Linked DNA regions of Anolis sagrei. Each later gene encodes a partner of the first gene's protein in a complex. Links are inferred from orthologs where the notes say so. Each region holds a gene or a part of one and is shown in the gene's direction. Other genes may lie near its edges. The genes, in order: EGLN1, EPAS1 and HIF1A.

What was found.
Region 2: the proteins of EGLN1 (region 1) and EPAS1 are in contact, whole or in part, in a crystal structure (PDB 7Q5X), measured with the Homo sapiens proteins. The link is inferred for Anolis sagrei from reciprocal best matches to the Homo sapiens genes EGLN1 and EPAS1. Residues at the interface, in NP_071334.1 of Homo sapiens: Gln239, Leu240, Val241, Ser242, Lys244, Ile251, Arg252, Trp258, Asp277, Ile280, Arg281, Ile292, Asn293, Gly294, Arg295, Thr296, Lys297, Tyr310, Val311, Arg312, His313, Val314, Asp315, Pro317, Asn318, Asp320, Arg322, Arg370, Trp389, Tyr390; in NP_001421.2 of Homo sapiens: Asp525, Leu526, Glu527, Thr528, Leu529, Ala530, Pro531, Tyr532, Ile533, Pro534, Met535, Asp536, Gly537, Glu538, Asp539, Phe540, Gln541, Leu542.
Region 3: the proteins of EGLN1 (region 1) and HIF1A are in contact, whole or in part, in a crystal structure (PDB 3HQR), measured with the Homo sapiens proteins. The link is inferred for Anolis sagrei from reciprocal best matches to the Homo sapiens genes EGLN1 and HIF1A. Residues at the interface, in NP_071334.1 of Homo sapiens: Gln239, Leu240, Val241, Ser242, Gln243, Lys244, Ile251, Arg252, Trp258, Lys262, Asp277, Ile280, Arg281, Ile292, Asn293, Gly294, Arg295, Thr296, Lys297, Tyr310, Val311, Arg312, His313, Val314, Asp315, Pro317, Asn318, Asp320, Arg322, Arg370; in NP_001521.1 of Homo sapiens: Leu559, Glu560, Met561, Leu562, Ala563, Pro564, Tyr565, Ile566, Pro567, Met568, Asp570, Asp571, Phe572, Gln573, Leu574.

The regions. Positions count from the first base shown.
Region 1 is NC_090021.1:60,811,638-60,818,763, forward strand, and holds the start of EGLN1 (egl nine homolog 1), read left to right. Parts: upstream 1-4,118; 5' UTR 4,119-4,599; coding exon 4,600-5,526; intron 5,527-7,126. UniProt on the Homo sapiens protein: Cellular oxygen sensor that catalyzes, under normoxic conditions, the post-translational formation of 4-hydroxyproline in hypoxia-inducible factor (HIF) alpha proteins.
Region 2 is NC_090021.1:26,973,170-26,980,188, reverse strand, and holds the start of EPAS1 (endothelial PAS domain-containing protein 1), read left to right. Parts: upstream 1-3,928; 5' UTR 3,929-4,451; coding exon 4,452-4,477; intron 4,478-7,019.
Region 3 is NC_090021.1:332,082,698-332,090,637, reverse strand, and holds the start of HIF1A (hypoxia-inducible factor 1-alpha), read left to right. Parts: upstream 1-4,912; 5' UTR 4,913-5,075; coding exon 5,076-5,119; intron 5,120-7,940.

The DNA.
Region 1 (7,126 bases):
GCTGTTCCCTGAACCTGCTACTTCTCTGTATCTTTCTTAAAATGAAATGCCCAGAAATGAATGCAGAGGAGGACCGATCAATGCATGGGTGACACAAGCCCTTGAGATGCTACTCACTCAGAAGTAGATTTTAGTAAATTCAGAGGCACCAACTTCCCTAAGTGTCCACAAAGTTCTACAATATAGTTGTGAGTGCACATTTGTGACATATTGCATGCCATTTATAAATAGCTGCAGTTCTCCAATACAATTCTAGGGTAGACCAGGACCAGAAAGCATGTTATTACACAATGCTGAGGTAATACATGCGGTTTCAGGCAATCATGGTCTAGCAGGGATCCTTTCCCCTGCTGATATGGAGGTCTTACTGTAAGGTGTGTGTGTATGTAATGTCATGTGTCCATTTAATGACAAGGACTGAAAAGCTGCATCATGAGGAAAACTACTTTAGCATGTAATAAATTCTTTCTACTTGAGAAATTATAACATGGGTGGTATAAAAATAAAGTCTTTACTGATAATCATTTCCAATGCTTACTTAAAATAGGTTTAAAAATCAAACATCTATTGATACCAAATCGGCTTTACGAAACAGGCTGGTCTTTCTTTTTATGAAGTATAGCATAAGCATCCTCTGCAGAGTCCACTGTAAACACTGCACAACAGATTTGTGTAAACGGCTATAAAGCTGTCACTAGGTTACTGTCAGATTTATGACCCCAACATAGATTTTTTTTGTGTGTGTCACGAGCAACTTGAGAAAACAAGGAAACTGTACCTCAGTTAGGATACTGAATGTTCTCTAATATGAAGGATCCCATACCACCTCTTTCATGCAATTATGGTCCTCAATGACCCTTAGAAGATAGAAACCTGCATCAGACCACTTTGGAACTGGTTTGATTTTGTTGCCCACCTAGACTCAGTCTGCTCCCCTGTGCAGCAGTGTAGTCTATGCCTAATTCCATGGCAAAGGTGCATCCATAGTGCCGTGTGGGATACATCGCACCATGTTAAAACAGTGGCTATGGCTCTTAATGAGACATGCCAAGTTATCACAGGAGGTCTCTGCCCCACACCACTGGAGAAATTATGCAATTTAGCTGGGTTTTTTGTGGGTTTTTTTCGTGTTAGGAGCAGCTTGAGAAACTGCAAGCCACTTCTGGTGTGGGAGAATTAGCCGTCTGAAAGGACGTTGCCCAGGGGACGCCCAGATGTTTTGATGTTTTACCATCCTTGTGGGAGGCTTCTCTCATGTCCCTGCATGGGGAGCCAGAGCTAACAGAGTGGTCATCCGTGCTCTCCCCTGTCAGTCTTCAGTCCCGGCACAAGGGTTTAAGCCATTGCATCACCGGGGGATACTTTTAGTTAGTATTGCACTAACTGGCATCCGTCAGGAAGTAGCAGCCAACAATGAAAGAACCGAGGCAGTGACATCTCTGGCCCATCATCTGTTTGGATATCAGCCAGCATGGCAACAGCTTAAATCAAGAAACAGCTTCCTAAGATTGAGAGAGGTACTTGCAGGAACACCTCAGCAAGCAAGAACGCAAAAGTGGCAGGTTAAAACCCACCACCTTAATCAGTAACTGAGACCGGACAGGAGACTCCCTCCTGGGCACAAAGAAGATTGGGTGACCTGAACAGGCTACACTCTGGCATCATGAGATGCAGAGCTAACCTTAAGAAATGGGGCTGCAAAGTGGAGTCCACAACATGCAAGTGTGGAGGAGAACAAACCACTGACCACCTGCTGCAATGCTACAAAGCAACATGAAGCCCTGCCATAAGCACAATGGAGGACCTTCTCAAAGCGACACCAGAGGCACTCCAAGTGGCCAGCTTCTGAACAAAGGAAATTTAGAAGAATGCCAAGTTTTTTTTAAAAAAGTGTGTTTTTTAAAATGCATTTTAACATATTATGATTATGCTTTTGGCTTTGTGCAGTTTTTATATTGCTAAATATTTTAATTGTATTTTATAATTGTTTTAATTGTATTTATAATTGTTGAGGCATCGAATTGTTGCCGACTGTGAACCGCCTTGAGTTGCCTCCGGGCCGAGAAAGGTGGTATATAAGTCTGATAAATAAATAAATCAATCTATATAAATAAAAATGTAATGTTCATTTGTGGGATTAACATTACTCAAAAACCACTGGATGAATTGACACCAAATTTGAACACAATACACCTATCAGGCCAATGAGTGATCATCACTCATAAAAACACTGAAAAACACAACAGAAGGGACTTAGAAAGCCAAAAAGAAAAAGAAAAAAAAGATGCTACAGTGCATGCACAAAAACGACTCCCCCGGCAAAAAAAAACACAATAGAATATCCACACTATCTTCCAGACTACAGCTCCCAGCATCCCCTAGACCAGGCCCTTTAGGAGAGGGGGATGATCCAAATGCACTGCTTCCAAGCTGCAAGCTTTCTTCTCCTTGGATTTGAGAGCATCCGAATCCCTGGATACTTCCAGTTTCCTATTCCTGGACTGCAAATTCCCAGCAGTCCTCCAGATAGATAGGTAGATTGATCAGGAGGAATACTGGGAGTTGCAGTCCAAGAATAGGCAAAGAAGGGGAAAAAAGGGAAAGGAAAGAAAAAGGGGGGAAGGAAGGGATGAGGAAGAGAAGGAAGGAAGGAGAAAAGGAAAGACTGAAACGGAGGGAAGGAGAGAGAGGAAGAGAGGAAGGAGAGGCTGGCCATAGCAATGCGTAGTGGGTACAGTTTGTAATAAATAAACTGTGCCCTCAACTGCAGGAAATCAGGAGACGCTTACTTCTTAGGAAGAGAGCAATAACCAATCTTGATAAAATAGTGAAGAGTAGAGACATCACACTGGCAACAAAGATCTGCATAATTAAAGCAATGGTATTCCCCATAGTCCCCTACGGATGTGAAAGCTGGACTATAGGGAAGGCTGAGCGAAGGAAGATAGATGCTTTTGAACTGTGGTGCTGGAGGAAAGTTCTGAGAGTGCCCTGGACTGCGAGAAGATCCAACCAGTCCATACTTCAGGAAATAAAGCCCGACTGCTCATTGGAGGGAAGGATAGTAGAGGCCAAGATGAAGTATTTTAGCCACATCATGAGAAGACAGGAAAGCTTAGAGAAGACAATGATGCTGGGGAAAATGGAAGGAAAAAGGAAGAGGGGCTGACCAAAGGCAACAGGCCCGTAGCGGGGGGGGGGGGGGGGGGGGGCTTGAGGGGCTTACCCCCCCCCCCCCGAAATTCTCAGGGTGGTCTGCGAGAAGGCCTTACTGGTACATTATTTAAACTGTTATGTTTACTCATATCATGATCTGATCACCATGATATGAGTAAACATATGCATGGGGATATTGGGACAATGATACAAAAGGTTTGCTAAGGTAGATCCTGAGCCCCCCCCCCCCCCCCAATCAAAATCTTGGCTACGGCCTGAAAGGCAAGGTGGATGGATGGTATCCTTGAAGTGACTGGCTTGACTCTGAAGGAGCTGGGGGTGGTGACAACCTACAGGGAGCTGTAGGTCACGAAGAGTTGGAAGCGACTGAACGAATGAACAACCCTCAACTCGCTTCTGACATTACCGCAGAATGAATACATTTTGGCCTTCCTTTAACTGCCCTGCGGCTCAATGCTGTGGACTCCAGGAGGGTGGAGTTTGGCGAGGTTTAGGGGACTCCTGAGCTGGAGTCCTGGCCATTGCCCGTACGTTGGGCAGAGCAGGCTGAAGACCTGGTGAAAGCACAGCTCCCAAACCGCACCGCTTATACAACCCAGGGGACCCCTCTGCAACAAAAACCCCCTGAAAACAATGGGCCACGTGGGTAGGTAGTGTTGTGCCAGTGCCTTCTCTGAAGGCGGCATCTCTGAAGGCGCCGCTCGCGCTGTGACGAGACAAAGCGGTGTCCCTCCTCTTTCCCCCCTCCCTCCCTCCCTCCCTCTCCTAAAGGCAGGCACCGCGTGCGTCGAGCAACGGCCATTCCGATCCCTGATCCCGACCCCGCCCACCTTCGGGCGCAGAGAGGCCTCGCGCAAACACCCTCCTTCCTGGCTTCCGTGAAGGTGCGGGGACGCGCATGCGCATGCGCAGAGCCCTCCCCTCGCGTAGGAGGGAAGGAAGGCGTGCTGACTGGAAGTGGCGTACGTGCAGCGCGGAGCTGGAGAGTGGCGGCGCAAGCTCCGCCCCCTCGGCGCGCGAGAGGAGAGCGAGAGGAGGGACGGTGGCTCGCGCCGGCCACGAAGGAGGCGGAGGACGTCGACGGAGCGACCAGAGGAGGCTTGAGGGGAGGAGAAGGAAGGAAGGGAAGGAGGGAGAGAGAGAGAGTGAAGGAGGCCTCTCGGCGGGAGATGAGGCGCTCCCCTCCCTTCCTCCGGCCATGATGAAGCGGTGGCGGTGGCGGCGGCAGGAGGACTGAGGCGCGGGCGAGGAGGCCGCGCTGACGGAGCGCCGCTTGGGGGGTGTGGGAAGAGCACGACGGCCATGATGATGAAGTGAGCCCGCCGCTCGGCGCTTGGCCTTCCGGAGGAGGAGGAGGAGGAGGAGGAGGAGGAGAAGGCCGCCGCGGAGGAGGAAGCCGAGGCGTGGGGCGCGCGCGGCAGCATGGCCAATGACAGCGGTGGGAGTGGCGGCCAAGGCGGCGGCGGGGGAAGCTGCAGCAACGGCAACAACGGCCACGGGCCCAACAGCTGCACCGCCAGCAGCAGCAGTAGTACCAGCGAGCGGGACCGGCAGTACTGCGAGCTGTGCGGGAAGATGGAGAACCTGCTGCGGTGCGGGCGGTGCCGCAGCTCCTTCTACTGCAGCAAGGAGCACCAGCGCCAGGACTGGAAGAAGCACAAGCTCATCTGCCGGGGAGGAGGAGGAGGAGGGGAGGCGCCGCCGCACGGGCACACCAACAGCCGCCCCCACGCCGCCGAGGAGGCCAAGAAGGCAGCCAAGCCTCCTCCGCCTCCCCTTCCCCCTCCTCTTCCTCCCCCAAACGGCGAAGGGGACGCTGCGGCCACCAACAACCACGTTGCCAAAGCGGCGCCTGAGGAAGAGGAAGAGGAGAAAGAGGACAAGGAGGAGGAGGTGGCGGCCGCAGCAGCAGCAGCAGCAGCGGCTCCCCCGCCGGCCCGGGAGGCGGGCCTCCTCTACCGGGACAAGTCCAACTTGACGGGCGAGGCGTCGCTGCGGCGCAACGGGCAGATGAAGTCGCAGGTGCCCCAGCGGCTGGCGCTGGAGTACATCGTGCCCTGCATGAACAAGCACGGCATCTGCGTGGTGGACGAGTTCCTGGGGCCCGAGCTGGGCGGGCGCATCGAGCAGGAGGTGCGCGCCTTGCACCACACGGGCCGCTTCACCGACGGGCAGCTGGTCAGCCAGAAGAGCGACTCCTCCCGGGACATCCGCGGAGACAAGATCACCTGGGTGGAAGGCAAGGAGCCCGGCTGCAAGGCCATCGGGAAGCTCATGAACAGCATGGACGATCTCATCCGGCACTGCAATGGCAAACTGGGCAACTACAAGATCAATGGCAGGACGAAAGTGAGTCGCCCTCCCTCTCTCCCCTATTTAGATATTTGTCTCACCAGAAGCTAACCAATGGTACAGTAATAATAATAATAATAATAATAATAAATGGGTTGTTGTAGGTTTTTTCGAGCTATATGGCCATGTTCTAGAGGCATTCTCACTTGACGTTTTGCCTGCATCTATGGCAAGCATCCTCAAGATGCTTGCCATAGATGCAGGCAAAGGTCAGGAGAGAATGCCTCTAGAACATGGCCATATAGCCCAAAAAAACCTACAACAACCCAGTGATTCCGGCCATGAAAGCCTTCGACAAGACATTAATAATAATAAACTTTATTTATACCCCTCCACCATCTCCCCAGAGAGGACTCAAGGTGGCTAACATGAGGCCAAGCCCAGTACAGCAAAGTGAAATACAACAATTAATAACATCAAATAAGATGCAAACAATAACAAGTATACAGTAAGCAAGCACAACTTAAAATGATGGAAAAATAAAAACAGAGTGGGAAGTTGTCATATATTTAAAAAAACGCAAAGTTTAATAAACTTGGCATTATGCTCAATGCCCTTTGACCGGAATCTGGCCACTTGGAGTGCCTCTGGTGTTGCTCTTAGAAGGTCCTCCATTGAGCATATGGCAGGGTTCAGGCTGCATTGTAATAGGTGGTCTGTGGTTTGCTCTCCTCCGCACTTACATGTTGTAGCCCTATTTCTTAAGGTTGCTTCTGTATCTCGTGGTCCCAGAGCAAAGTCTGTTCAGCGCCTTCCAAGCCGGCCAGTCTTCTGTGTGCGGGGGTGGGGTGGGGGGGGTGGGAGTCTCTCATTTGGTATCAGCCACTGATTGAGGTTCTGGGTTTTAGCCTGCCACTTTCGGACTCTCACTTGCTGAGGTGTTCCAGTGAGTATCTCTGTAGATCAGTGGTTCTCAACCTGCAATCTCCAGATGTTTGTGGACTACAACTCCCAGAAATCCCAGCCAGTTTACCAGCTGTTGGGATTTCTGGGAGTTGTAGTCCACAAACATCTGGAGATTGCAGGTTGAGAACCACTGCTGTAGATCTTAGAAAACTATTTCTTGATTTAAGGCGTTGGCGTGCCGGCTGATATTTGAACAAGGGATGGGCTGAAGATGCCACTGCTTTGGTCCTTTCATTATTGGATGCTACTTCCTGGCGGACGTCAGGTGGTGCAATACCAGCTAAACCAGTGGTTCTCAACCAGTGGGTCCCCAGATGTTTTGGCTTTTAACTCTCAGATATCCTCACAGCTAGTAAACCAGCTGGGATTTCTGGGAGTTGTGGGCCAAAACACTTGGGGACCCACAGGTTGAGAACCACTGGGCTAAACAGTATAATTTCTTCACCACTGTCCTCAAAGGCAGTGGTTCTCAACCTGTGGGTCCCCAGGTGTTTTGGCCTACAACTCTCAGAAATCCCAGCTGGTTTACCAGCTGTTAGGATTTCTAGGAGTGGAAGGCTAAAGCATCTGGGGACCACAGGTTGAGAACCACTGCCCTAAGGGCACCTTTTCATGCAGAGCCGGCAGGGATGCTCTCGGGCTTTATTGACCTCTTGGTATGATCACTCCTCCTCCTCCCATCATTCCACCA
Region 2 (7,019 bases), about 34 Mb from region 1:
GCAACCCTAAAATTATAGGGTTTCTATGGATTCCTGTGGTCAAGTGGGGTTTTGAACACTAGTCTCTCGACCACACTGAAGAATTAATGCAATCTAACACCACTTCAACTACAATGGCTCTATGCTAGGGAATTATGGGAACTTTAATTTTAAAAGGCCTTTAACTTTCTTTGGTGCCTCACCAAACTAGGATTCCATAGAATTGAACCACCTGAGTTAGAATGATGCTTTTTTATCTAATCAGAAGCAACTTGAGAACATACTGCAAGTTGCTTCTGGTGTGAGAGAATTGGCCATCTACAGATGTTGTCCAATGGAGCCTCGGATGTGTTACCATCCTGCTGGAAGGCTTCTCTTATGTCTCCGCAAGCTAGAGCTGACAGATGGGAGTTCACCCCATCTTGCAGATTTGAACCGGCAACCTTCAGGTCAGCAACTCAAACTTCAGGTCAGCAGTCCAGCTGTAACAAGGGTTTAACCAGGCAATGACAAACTTTGGTCCTCTAGGTGTTTTGGACTTCAACTCCTTCAATTCCTAACAGCCTACTTGCTCTCTTAGGAATTTTGGGAGTTGTAGTCTAAAACACCTGGAGGGCCAAAGTTTGCCCATGCCTGGTTAAACCCATTGTGCCATGCTAAACTGCATAAATTCTACAGTATAGTTGCACTCAATGTGGCCACAAAGGCTTTCAGAGGCAAGAATTAAGTAATTAAGATTGACACATTATTCAAATGGTCTAATTTAGTTGGGAGTTAAAGTGTAACGAGGCACCTGCACTCATTGGCATAGGTTTGGACCATGGATATGTACACACATACTTTAAAATTAATTGAAAAATCTTGGGGATTTATTTATTTATTTATTTGCTGTATTTATATACCGCCTTTCTTAGCCCGAAGGTGATGCAAGGCTGTTTATATTCAGCACAATTCAATGCCCCCAAAAACATAAAATACAATTTAAAACAGTAGCATATAAAATATAGATTCATATAAAATCAAAAGCATGTCCTTACTGAAATTATTATGGCTGAGGACACATTTTCCTTCACCCTCGTTGTTTACTATTGGCAACTCACTCAAAAACACCAAGTTGCCAAGCGAGTTTGGCATTCTGAATAATAGCTCAGCCTTAAGGCTAGTCCTGCTTTAATCTCTCTCTCAGTTTTCCAAAGAATTAAGGGAAGTATATAGTACTTAACAGAGAGCCAGCATGGGGTTGTGGTTTGAACATTGGGCTACAACTCTCAGCCTCAGAGGAAAGGAAAGGTAGACTCTCTCTGAACAAATCTTGCCAAGACAACCCTATGAGAGTGGTTTGCCTTAGACTGGAAACAAAGGTAGTGGGTTGTTGTGAGTTTTCCAGACTGTATAGCTATATTCCCAAAGCATTCTCTCTTGATGTTTCGCCCATATCTATGGTAGACATCCTCAGAGATTGTGAGGTCTGTTGGAAACTAGGCAAGTGGGGTTTATGTATCTGTGGAATGTCCAGGGTGAGAGAAAGTACTCTTGTCTGTTTGAGGCAAGTGTGAATGTTGCAATTGGCCACTTTGATTAGCACTGAATAGCTTGGCAGCTTCAAAGCCTGGTTGCTTCCTACCTGGGGTAATCCTTTGTTGGGAGGTTAAATTGGTTAGGATTCTATGAGATATTAATTGAAAAAAAATATAGCAAAATATACTGCAGGATGTCCTGGGGTAATCCTTTGTTGGGAGGTTATCTGGCCCTATGGAGCCCCCGGTGGTGCGGTGCGTTAAACCCCTGTGTCGGCAGGACTGAAGACCAACAGGTCGCAGGTTCAAATCTGGGGAGAGGCGGATGAGTTCCCTCTATCAACTCCAGGTCCTCATGCGGGGACATGAGAGAAGCCTCCCACAAGGATGATAAAAACATCAAATCATCTGGCGTCCCCTGGGCAACGTCCTTGCAGACGGCCAATTATCTCACACCAGAAGCGACTTGAAGTTTCTCAAGTCACTCCTGACACGACAAAAAAAAAACTGGCCCTGATTGTTTCCTGTCTGGAATTCCCCTGTTTTTTGAGTGTTGATCTTTATTTCCTGTCCTGATTTTAGAGTTTTTTTTTTAATAATGATAGCCAGATTTAAAGGTACACAACCTAAAGGTATATAACAACAACGTGCTAAACCCTCACCACAAGGCTAGTCCTCAAATCCACAACTTATCCAAAATAATCTGGGAAGCAATGTGGCTGAGCTGGAGTTTTGCATTTATTATTGTAAATACCCCTTTCTTATTCCAATATAATCTTGAAGTGGCAGAATCTTGACTTCTTTTTAAAATGCTCAATGTACTTTGCAATTTCTTTCCTGCACCTCATATTATCAGACCCGGGGAAAAGTTGCTTCAGCATTGTATGTAACTCCCACTCTGATCATACTGCCTGGGAGATTCTGAAGGGAGTTGCCAATATTTCATTTCATTTTAAATTTTTTCTTCTTCTAGTTTTGCTCTGCCTAACTTTCCAGAGCATTGACCCTGACTGAGTATCCACACTGCAGAATTATTGTATTTTGACACCACTTTTACTCCCAAACCTTCTACAAAATCCTGGAATTTGTAGTTAGTTCAACCTAGTTCAAAGCAGATATTGTGGGATTTTCTGCCTGGATATTCTGGGTTATATGACTGTGTGAAAGGGCCCTTAGTGAGACACCAGCCCTCTTGACCAGTGAAATAGCAATACTTAAAAAAAACATATCATAGGATCCTATATAGGGTGTGATAGGTATGGGCCCTTCAAGTGGTGCCAAACCCTGCAGTATAGAGTGCATTTGCACTGTAGAATGAATGCAGTTTGACATCACTTGAACTGACCTGGCTAAAAGCTATGGAATTATGGGACTTGTAGTCTGGTAAGGCACAGGACTTTTTGGCAGAGAAGGCTAAAGACCTCCTAAAACTACTGTACAGCATCAGTGATTCCTAGCACGGAGCCAGGGTAGTTAAAATGACTTAAAATTGCATTTATTCTACTGTATAGATGCACCAAAACACTTGTTGATCTCTAAGGCACTGCAAGATTTATTTGCAACTGAATTTAGCTATACTTTGTGTTTCCCTGTCAGTCTCTTTGGGGGGGGGAGGGGGGTGCTGCTGCTGCTATAAAACTCCAACTCCAGTGATTCTGTGGCCATGAATCAGCTCAAATGGAAGTCAAACTGCATTTATTCTGCAGCGTTGATGCACTATGACCCTCTTTTAATTTCTAAAGTGCTGCAAGATGCCTTTTGTCACTGTGTCTAAGGCGTTCTTGGCATTTTCCCTGCCGGTTGTTAGGAATGGTGGGAGTGGAAGTCCAAAACACTTGGCGGGCTGACGTTTGCCCGTGCCACTGCCTACTGTAGAGGCACCCTAGGTCCGGGCCTTTTTCCCCCGGGGGTGGGGGTCTCTGCTCCGGAGTGTGTGGTAGAGGAACCTTCTTTGGAAGCTTTTAAACAGAGGCTGGATGGCCATCTGCCGGGGGTGCTTTGAATGTAATTTTCCTGCTTCTTGGCAGGAGATTGGACTAGATGGCCCATGAGGTCTCTTTCAACTCTATGATTCTATGATGCTATAATGTGGGACTTTCTGCCTTGATATTCTGGTATATAGCGCTGTGTGGAAGGGCCCTAAGGCGCCCTTGGCGTTTCCCCTGCTGGCTGTTAGGAATGGTGGGAGTTGAAGTCCAAAACGCCTGGAGAGATGAAGTTTGCCCGTGCCACTGCCTACTGTAGAGGCACCCTAGGTCTGAACCTTTTTCCCCCCGGGAGTGGGGGGTCTGACCCATCCGGCTGTGCCTCCTTCGGCCCCTCCCTCGCTTTGACTTGCGATCAACAAGTGCTGCCAAGTGGCTGGAGGCGGGTCCGGAGGCGTGGGCTTTGCCCGCCCCTTGGAGGCAGCGCCCTCGGCGGCCTCTCCAGCTGGAAGAAGCGCCGCCTGAGGCTCCAGCCTGCCTCTGTCCTCCTGGCCGGTCGGCAGAGCCTTCCCAGGGCGACCCGTCCTCCCTTTCCTCCTCCTCCTCCTCCGTACATATACCCAGCGCCAAAGGAGGAGCGGCAGAAGCAGCCAGGAGCAGTGGCGGCGGGGAGCCGCGGCGCCCTTGCCTCCTCCCTCTCTCTCTCTCTCTCCCCTGAGCGGGCTGTACAATCCTCGGCAGTGTCCTGAGACTGTATGGTCAACTCAGGGGCGGCTCGACGGCCTCCTCCTCTTCCTCTTCCACCCCCGCCAAGCCCAGGAAAGGCAACCCACCCGACGGCAAGCGCGCAAAGAGCGCAACCCATCTCTTCTCCAAAGTGGTCTCCAAGCTTGGCGCGCGCGCTTTCTCTCTCTCTCGTGCGCCCTGACATCTTCCTCCCCAAGGATCCCGACGGACAGAAAGCCCCTTCCTCTCGGGGATACAGCGTGAGAGCATCCCAGCAAGCAAGCAGGAACCCCCGCTTCCCAGGATGACAGCCGAGAAGGAAAAGAAGAGGTAAGGGAGGAGGAAAAGAGAGCCAGGGACATCTTTGCGGGGACAAAGTTCTCGCGCCAGTTCTTTGAAAGCAAGGAAGCTCTTCCGCTGGTTGGATTCAGGAGGGACCTCTCCTTTTGCATCTCTTTCCTAACTCTTCCCAGTCCTTTGGAGCCAGGGAGGTTGAAGTGGGGCTGGATCTCTCTTTCCCCAATCCCAAATGGTCCAACAATGGTGCCTTGTTTGGCTCTACTTCAAGTCCTTTCCCTCTGCGTTCTGCTCCACTCACTTCTCTGAAGCGCCCAGGCTCGGGTCCATCTCTACAGTAGAATAGATGCAGTGTGACACCCCTTGAACTACCAAGGCGCAATGCTAAGGGAGCCTAGCAGTTGTGTTTCCCCAAGGTCTTTAGCCTTCTCTGCCAAATAGAAGTGGTGGTTCAATAAACTGCAACTCCCCAGATTCCAGTAGCACTAAGCTGCGTCAAACTGCACCCATTCTACAGGGTAGATCAGGCCTGGGCAAACCTGTGCCTTCCAGATGTTTTTGGACTTCAACTCCCAACATTCCTGAGGCCCATAAGCGGCTGAAGGGGGAAAGGAAGGAGGCCGAGGCTGTTAGGAATGGTGGGAGTTGAAGTCCAAAACACCCAGAGGGCCCAAGTTTGCCCATGCCTAGTGTAGCTGCCTGAACACTAGGAATTATTTAACTCGAACTGGATCTTGCATTCCAATATCTCAAATAGAGTGAGAAATGTCAGATCTTGGTGCTGTCCTTGCTGTGGCATATTTCGTGATCTAGAATCATAGAATTGGAAGAGACCTCAAGGGCCATCCAGTCCAACCCCTTGCCAAGAAGCAGGAAAATTGCATTCAGGGCACCCCCGACAGATGGCCATCCAGCTTCTGTTTAAAAGCTTCCAAAGAAGGAGCCTCTACCACACTCCGGGGGGAGGGAGTTCCACTGCTGAACAGCTCTCACAGTCAGGAAGTTCTTCTTGATGTCTCTTTTCTTGTCGTTTGAAGCCATTGTTCTGCATCCTAGTCTCCAGGGCAGCAGAAAACAAGTTCACTCCCTATGACTTCCCCTCACATATTTATACATGGCTATCATGTCTCCTCTCAGCCTTCTCTTCTTCAGGCTAAACATGCCCAGCTCTTTAAGCCACTCCTCATAGGGCTTGTTCTCCAGACCCTTGATCATTTTAGTCACCCTCCTCTGGACACATTCCTGTTTGTCAATATCTCTCTTGAATTGTGGTGCCCAGAATTGGACACAATATTCCAGGTGTGGTCTAACCAAGGCGGAATAGAGGGGTAGCATGACTTCTAGACACTCTACTCCTATTGATGCAGGACAAAATCCCACTGGCACTTTTTTTTTTTGCCTTCTTTAGCCTTCTCTGCTGAAGAGGGCTGGTGGTTCAACAAACTGCAACTCCCCCAAATTCCAATAGCACCAAGCGGCTTCAAACTGCATCCATTCTATGGTGTAGATCAGGCCTGGGCAAACTTGTGCCCTCCAGGAGTTTTTGGACTTCAACTCCCACCATTCCTGACAGCCTCAGGCCCACAAGCAGCTGAGGGGGGAAAAGAAGGGGGCTGAGGCTGTTAGGAATGTTGGGAGTTGAAGTCCAAAATACCTGGAGGGCCCATGCCTGGTGTAAGTGCACACTTGGACTGCTTTAATTTGAACTGGATCTTGCATTCCAACATCTCAAATAGAGTGAGAAATGTCAGATCTTGGTGCTGTCCCTGCTGTGGCATATTTGGTGACCTGTGGACTTTCAAAAAGTTTACTTCCACTTCTTGTTTGACTCAGGGCCCTTCCACACAGCCTTATATCCCAGAATATCAAGGCAGAAAATCCTACAATATCTGCTTTGAACTGGGTTATCTGAGTCCACACTCAGATAATGTGGGATTTCCTCCCTTGATATTCTGGGATATAGGGCTATGTGGAAGGGCCCTGACACTCTCTGCAATGCAACCCTGAAAGCCAACTAATAATCAATGTATTGTCGAAGGCTTTCATGGCTGGAATCACTGGGTTGTTGTAGGTTTTTTGAGCTATATGGCCATGTTCTAGAAGCATTCTCTCCTGACGTTTCGCCTGCATCTATGGCAAGCATCCTCAGAAGTTGTGAGACCTCACAACCTCTGAGGATGCTTGCCATAGATGCAGGCGAAACGTCAGGAGAGAATGCTTCTAGAACGTGGCCATATAGCCCAAAAAACCTACAACAACCCAACTAATAATCCCTTGCAAGAAGATTCAGTCCTTTAAGGATGTCCTCACTTTTAATCTCCAACAAAGTGTGGAAGGGCACTTCCGAACAGGATTGTATCATTTTCTTATAGTAGAATGAAGGTGGATGATGGGAAGGCAGCATCCAGTGTTAGATAAGAAGAGGGTACTCACACATTACATTGAATATGCATGTCAGTGCATAGTTTTGGTTGTTTTCTTGGCAATATGCATTCCAGTGTGTGTGTGTGTTTGTGTGATTGTTTTCATGAGGCTGAGAAAGTGTGACTTGACCAAGGTCACACAGTGGATTTCC
Region 3 (7,940 bases), about 270 Mb from region 1:
CACTGTGACTCACACCAATGACTGATCAAGACCAAACTTGGCATACAGAGTCCTCATGATCCATCCTATATCCTGGTGCCATTTGGAGGAGGAAGGACCACAGACGATGGGACTTACATATGGGAGTTGGAGTTTACCTATACCCACTGAAGCCAACTGACATTGGATCCAGACTCCAACTGGAGTGCAGACAAACAATGCCTATCTCAAATAGCCTGGGCATCACTGGGTCCCCAAGCTAGTAAATAAATAAAAGGCCAAACATGCTGAAAGTTTTGGTTTTACATTTTTTTGATCAGTTCATTTATGTTCACAATGTTGGTCATGAATAGGAAATAACTATGCATATAATTAGAGAAAAAAATTGATGGGTTAACTTTACCTTTTCACTTCAAATGTTTAAAAGCAATGCTTTTGGATGAAACATGCAGAATAATCACAGGATGTCTTCAACCTACACCTGTTGATAAACTCTACAAAAGCTAGCTGGCATTGCCCCTCCTGATTTTATTTATTTATCGTGTCATCCGCAACCAGAACATTGTATTACATTTCTAACAGAACAAAACAAACAAACAGATAAAAAAACCCCACAAATTTTGCAAACTTGGTAGCTGATTAAATGTCCTTTGACCAGTATCTGGCCACTTGGAGTGCCTCTGGTGTTGCCGCAAGAAGGTCCTCCATCGTGCATGTGGCAGGGCTCAAGTTGCATTGCAGCAGGTGGTCAGTGGTTTGCTCTTCTCCACACTCGCATGTCGTGGATTCAACTTTGAGGCCCATTTCTTAAGATGGCTCTGCATCTCGTGGTGTCAGAGTGCAGTCTGTTCAGCGCCTTCCAAGTCGCCCAGTCTTCTGTGTGCCCAGGGGGGAGTCTCTCATCTGGTATCACCCACGGATTGAGGTGTTGGGTTTGAGCCTGCCACTTTTGAACTCTCGCTTGCTGAGGTGTTCCAGCGAGTGTCTCTGTAGATCTAAGAAAAGTATTTCTTGATTTAGGTTGTTGACATACTGGCTGATACCCAAACAAGGGATGAGCTGGAGATGTCTCTGCTTGGTCCTTTCACTATTGGCTGCTACTTCCCAGCGGATGTCAGGTGGTGCAATACCGGCTAAGCAGTGTAATTTCTCCAGTGGTGTAGGACGCAGACACCCTGTGATAATGCGGCATGTCTCATTAAGAGCCACATCCACTGTTTTAGTGTGGTGAGATGTGTTCCACACTGGGCATGCGTACTCAGCAGCAGAGTAGCACAGCGCAAGGGCAGATGTCTTCACTGTATCTGGTTGTGATCCCCAGGTTGTGCCAGTCAGCTTTCGTATGATATTGTTTCTAGCACCCACTTTTTGTTTGATGTTCAGGCAGTGCTTCTTGTAGGTCAGAGAACGGTCCAGAGTGACTCCCAGGTATTTGGGTGCGCTGCAATGCTCCAGTGGGATTCCTTCCCAGGTAATCCTCAGAGCTCGGGATGCCCCTCCTGATGTGTGATGGGAAGTTGCTGCTAAATGTGAGAGAAATAAGGTTGAACACTGTCCACTGTGTCCTGCCTCATGTACAGAGGAGGAATTGTTGGAGGCTACAGACAATGCCGTTGCTGTTGCTCGTTTTTGGTGAAAAGATATTTAGCCGCCTGTACGCCTTCTATTTTTTATCAGTTTTATACTAATTTATGCAATGATTTCGATACGAAATAAAATATAACCTTTTTGCTTTAAGCAGATTGGCTATTGTATTGCCTTCAACTGCCAGTTTTCTCCTGTTCTTATATTCTATGTTTATTGTATGTAAACTGCCCTGTTAAACTTTACTTTAAGATGGAATTAAATAAACAAAACCTTATCACTTAGGAGCCGTGTAATGCATATAAGGAAGTGGCAGAACCTTACGTCTAGAGGCTTTTCTGCTATGATACAAATACCTCTCTGGAATACAACAAAATATAACATCCTCAAAAGATTATTAGACAATCAAAATAAAGACAACACATCAAGCAAGCTTTTGAAGCTTCACCATCTTCCTGATAGTATAGGCATGGGCAAACTTTGGTCCTCCTGATGTTTTGGACTTTTACTCCCACAATTCCTAACATCTTAGTTTGCCCATGCATGTGATAATAGATGCATGATGGCTAGCTTACACTCTGCATGTACTCAGAGGCATTCTTGGTGCTTCATGCGGGACCAAAATAAACCCCGAGACTCAAGGCCTCCTCAGGAACTCTTGGCAAATAATGGGATGTCTTATTGATATCATCATTATTATAACACACACATATCCAGCAGACTCTCAGTTAACGAGGAATCAAGCAACTGGAGCTTTTAAGCAACCAGCAAACCCCCCCAGCAGGTATAATATGCATTTTAAAAAGTCCTGCCAAGATCCCAAGTCCAGGGTGAAACTGAGCACAATGTAGACGCCCACTCCAGCCTCAAAGACAGGCTTCCTTGACCTCCACTTATGGATGCTGCAGTTTCCAGTCAGCTTGCAACTGCATTAAATAATAAGCGTAGATGCCATTCAATACAATTTCTCAGTACTAGGCTGTTAGGAATTGTGGGAATTGAAGTGCAAAACATCTGGAGGGCCAAATGTTGCCCATGTCTGCACTAGAGCATCTATCCACTTTAAATCTGATTGCTGCCTCCTGCAGGATTTTGGAGTTTGTAGTTTAGGGAGGCCTGGGATCTCTTTATCTGAGCAGTTTAAAGGGTTACCCCCAAACTACAAACACCAGAATTCTGCAGAAGGCAGCAACCAGATTTAAAATTGATTGATTCTCCAACTCCCACAATTCCTAACAACCTACCTCTATGTATGATGAAGTCCATACAAAAGACAAGAGGAGGAGAAGAGGAAAAGAAGGGAAAGAGGAAGAGGAGGTGAAGGAGAAGAAGATGGTGGTGGTGGTGAGGAGGAGGAGCATGGAAGAAGAGGAGAAGGAAGAGAAAGGATTAAGATGAGGAGGGAGGAAGAAGAGAAGGAGGAAGGAAAAGAAAGAAGAGGAGGTGAAGTTGAGAGATCAAGGTGAAAAAGAAGAGAAGATGGGGGAAGAAGAAGAGGTGGAATGGAGGGAGTAGACAGGAACAGAAAGCAAAAAGGAGAGAAAAGGAAGGGAAAAAAGAAGAGAAGGAAAAGAGAAAATCAGAATTGAAGAGACGTGAGAAGAAAAGTTGAAGAAGAGGAGGAGCAGGGAAGAAGAAGAGAAAGTGAAGTAAGAGTAGAGGAGGACGGAGAAGAAGAGGAGACAGGAAAAAGAAGCAAGGAAAGATAAAGAAACAAGTCGACCATGTGCTCTGTTTTAAACTGTTTATTTTAAATGTATTTATATGTTACTGTTTTGATTATAATCTACTATGTATTTTATTTGTTTTTATGTGGCATTGAATGATTGGCAATTGGAAGCGGCTCTGAGTCCCCTTCGGGGTTGAGATAGAGCGAGGTAAAAAGTACAGTAAATAAATAAGGAGGGGAAGAAGAAGACGAGAAAAATAGAAGAAAGAGAAGAGGAGGAAGAAAAGGAGGAGAAAACTAAAAGGCGGAGGGGAAAGGAAGGGGAAAAAGAAGAGAAGAAAAAGAGGAAAATCAGAAGAAAAGGAGGGTGGAAGAGGATTAGTGGGCAGAAAAGGTGAAGAAGAGGGGAAGCAGGGAAGAAGAAGAGGAGAAAGAAAAGTAGAAGAGGATGGGGAAAAGAAGAGAAGGAAAGAGGATGAATGGAAGAGAAGAAAAGGACAGAAACAAGAGGAGAAAGTGAAAAAGAGGAGGAGAGATGGGGTGAAGAAAAAGAGAAACAGAAGAAAGTGAAAAGGGGGAGAAAAGGAGAAAAAAACAAAAAAGAGAAAAGGAAAGGAAAAAATGAAGAAAAAGAGGAAAATCAAAAAAAAGAGAAAGGGGAAAGGAGAAGAAGAGGAAAAGCAGGGAAGAAGAAAAGGAGAAAGAAGTATCAGGAGAAGAAGAGGATGGGGAAGAGAGGAAGGAAAGGAGAAAACGAAAAGGAGAAGAGAAAAAAGGGAAAAGAAGGGAAGGAAAATAGAATGAGAAGAGAGGAGGGTAGAAGAAGGGAGGAAGAGATAGAGAAGTAGGAGAAGGGGATGGAGAGAGAGTAAGGAAAGGAGAAAACAAAAAAGGAGAAAAGAAGAAAAGAAGGGAAAAGAAGCGAAGGAAAAGAGAGGAATGAGAAGAGAGGAGGGAAGAAGAAGGGAAGAAGAGAAAGAGAAGTAGGAGGAGAAGGGGGTGGGGAGAGAGGAAGGAAAGGAGAAAACGAAAAGGAGAAGAGAAGAAAGGAAGGGAAAAGAAGAGAAGGAAGAGAACGAGAAGAGAGGAGGGAAGAAGAAGAGAAAGAGAAGTAGGAGGAGGAGAAGAGGAATGAGTAATAAGAAGAGAAAACGAAAAAAAGAAAAAAGGGAAGAAGGGAAGAAGAAAAGAAAAGTAGTAGAAGAAGAGGATGAGAAAGAGGGGAAGGAAAGGAGAAAACGAAAAGGAGAAGAGAAGAAAGGAAGGGAAAAGAAAAGAAGGAAAATGGAGAATGAGAAGAGAGGAGGGAAGAAGAAAAAGATAAGGAGAAGTAGGGGGAAGAAGAGGATGGGGAAAAGAAGAAGAAAAGGAGAAAATGAAAAGGAGAAGAGAAGAAAGGGAAAAGAAGAGGAGGAAAAGAGGAGGGAAGAAGAAGAGAAAGAGGAGGAGAAAAAGAAGGAGAAAAGGAGAAAAGGAGGAGGAGGAGGATAAAGAGGAGGCCGCCTTCCCTTCCTGCCTTCTGCGCGCGCAACCGGCGGGGGGAGGGAGACACTCACGTGAGGCAGGCGGGCGGGGCCACGCCCCCTCCGGGCGGCGGTCCTCGCGCCGCCTCCCGATTGGCCGAGGCGGAGCTCGTGACGGGCCAGCCGGGAATAGGCCCCGCCCCCTCCCCTCCCCTCCTCCTCCTCCTCCTCAGACCGCGCTGAGAGAGAGTGAAGAGAGCCTCGCGGTGGCTGCCTTCCCTGCTTCGGCCTCCCTTTTCTGTGTCCCTCGGCCTTCCTCTCCGGCCAAGCTGGCTTCCTCGGCTTCTTCGTCCTCCGCCGACGACGGCGACGAGGCCGCCATGGAGCCCGGAGCCACCCCGGGAGGCTCCAGCGAGAAGAAAAGGTACGAAGGAGGAGAAAGATTAGGAGGCAGGCCTTGCTCTTCTCCTTCCTGTAGGAATGAATGCCTGGGGAGGAGAGAGATGGAGAGAATGGTGGAACTTCCTTCCTCTCTGTTATTGCTCCTTCTGAACTTTCTGTTTTCCTTCCTTTCTCCTTCCTTCCCTTTGTTGTTGATGATGGAGGAGAGGAGGAAGACTTCTCTTCCATTATTCCCAATTTTTCTTTCTTTCTTTGCTTTCTTTCTTCCACCTTCCTTCCTTCCCTTCATTCTCCATTCAGGCCTCTTCTAGACATCTGTAGTCCTTACCTTCATTCTCCATTCTTCTAGACATCTGTACACAATCCACATTATCTCCTTTGAACTGGATTATCTGGCAGTGTGGACCAGGCATGGGCCAACTTGGGCCCTCCAGGTGTTTTGGACTTCAACTCCCACAATTCCCAACAGCCTGTTGGGAATTGTGGGAGTTGAAGTCCAAAACACCTGGAGGGCCCAAGTTGGCCCATGCCTGGTCTACACTGCCAGATAATCCAGAATATCTGCTTTGAACTGGGTTATCTGAGCCCACACTGCCATATTTATTATTTATTTATATATTATATATTTACAACACTTATATGCCACCCTTCTCATCCCAAAGGAGACTCAGAGTGGTTTACAATACACACACACATACACAATATATTATATTATTAGCATAGTGCAAAATCAGTATTATATATTACTGTATTGTGCTATACCACTATATTGTAATACTACATGTAATACAGGGTTAGTCAAAATGAATAGGCCAATAAACACACATATACACACACATATACAATATATTATATTATTAGCATAGTACAAAATCAGTATTATATATTACTACGTCGTGCTATACCACTATATTGTAATATTACATGTAATACAAAATATGTAATTATAATATCCTATTATTATTAGTATTTATTTATTTTCAGCATTTCTACCCCCATTCCTTCTCAACCCCTGAAATGGCTAGAAGGATACTACTATATTGTAATACTATTACTAATATTAGTAATATTACATGTAATATAAAATATATAAATTATAATATCATATTATTGGTAGTAATATTGTATTATTTATTTATTTATTTATTTCCAGCATTTCTACCCCGTCCTTCTCAACCCCTGATATTAGCATAGTACAGTATCAGTATTATATATTACTATCTCATGCTATACCATTATGTTGCAATATTATTAGTAATATTACATGTAATATAAAATATGTAATTATAATATCATATTATTAGTAGTAGTATTGTTTTATTTATTTATTTCCAGCATTTCTACCCCCGTTCCTTCTCAATCCCTGAAGGGGGACTCAGGATGGCTTACAAGATATATATATGTGTGTGTGTGTGTATGGGTATATATATATACACACACACACACACACACATATATATATATATAATATTATTAGCATAATACAAAATCAGTATTATATATTACTATATTGTGCTATACCACTATATTGTAATATTATTAGTAATATTACATGTAATATAAAATATATAATTATTATATCCTATTATTCGTTGTATTATATTGTATTATTTATTTATTTCCAGCATTTCTACTTCTCAACCCCTGATATTAGCATAGTATAGTATCAGTATTATATATTGCAATATCGTGCTATACCATCATGTTGCAATATTATTAGTAATATTACATGTAATATGAAATATATAATTATTATATCCTATTATTAGTAGTAGTATTATATTGTAGTATTTATTTATTTCCAGCATTTCTATCCTGTCCTTCTCAACCCATGAAGGGGGACTCAGGATGGCTTACATTTGGCAACAATTTGATGCCATTAAATACAACAAAGCAATATAACAACAATAAAAACAGTATTAACCACCGTATCACCATTCCAGCCAAATTCCATATCCAAAGCGCTATTTATGTCTGCTGTCCAAAAACCTGGTCCCAGAACCACGACTCAATTTCTTCCTAAAAGACAGGAGGGATGAGGCCTGTCTTACCTCGTTGGGAAGCGAGTTCCACAGCTGGGGGGGGGGGGGGGGCTACAGCCGAGAAGGCCCTGTCTCTCGTCCCCGCCAGACGTATTTGCGACGCTGGCGGGAGCGAGAGCAGGGTCTCCCCGGATGATCTTAAATTGCAAGACAGGACGTATTATATTATTAGCATAGCACAGGAGACAAGGTGGACTTGTCTTCTGGTCCCTCTCTCTTCACTCTGGTCCAGAGCAGCAGTTGGTGCTGGGGGGAGGGGTCCCCAACTGATGACATATGCAGTAGACAAGATGGAACTGTCCCCTGCCCCCCTTTCACTCTGGCCCAGAGCATCAGTTGGTATATTCCAGTTCAAAGCAGAAAATGTGGAATTTTATTCAGGGCCTTTCTAGACAGGCCCTATATCCCGGGATCTGATCCCAGGTTTTCTGCTTTGAAGTGGATTATATGAGTCCGCACTGCCTCAAAAATCTGGAATAAACAGAAAACTTGGGATCAGATCCTGGGATATAGGGGCCTGTCTGGAAGGGTCCTCAGGTAATCAGTTCAAAGCAGGTCATGTTGGGTTATCTGCCTCGATATTCTGGATTATATGGCAGTGTAAAAAGGCCTTCACAATCCCAAATCAGATCTGAGCCTTTATTCCCCAGGTTCAAGTGATAACCCCCATTTCCCCCCACCAAATCCAGTTTCTTCCTTCAAAGGGCCCTTCCACACAGCCCTATATCCCAGAATATCAAGGCAGAAAATCCCACAATATCTGCTTTGAGCTCAGTTGTCTGAGTGCATACTCAGATAATG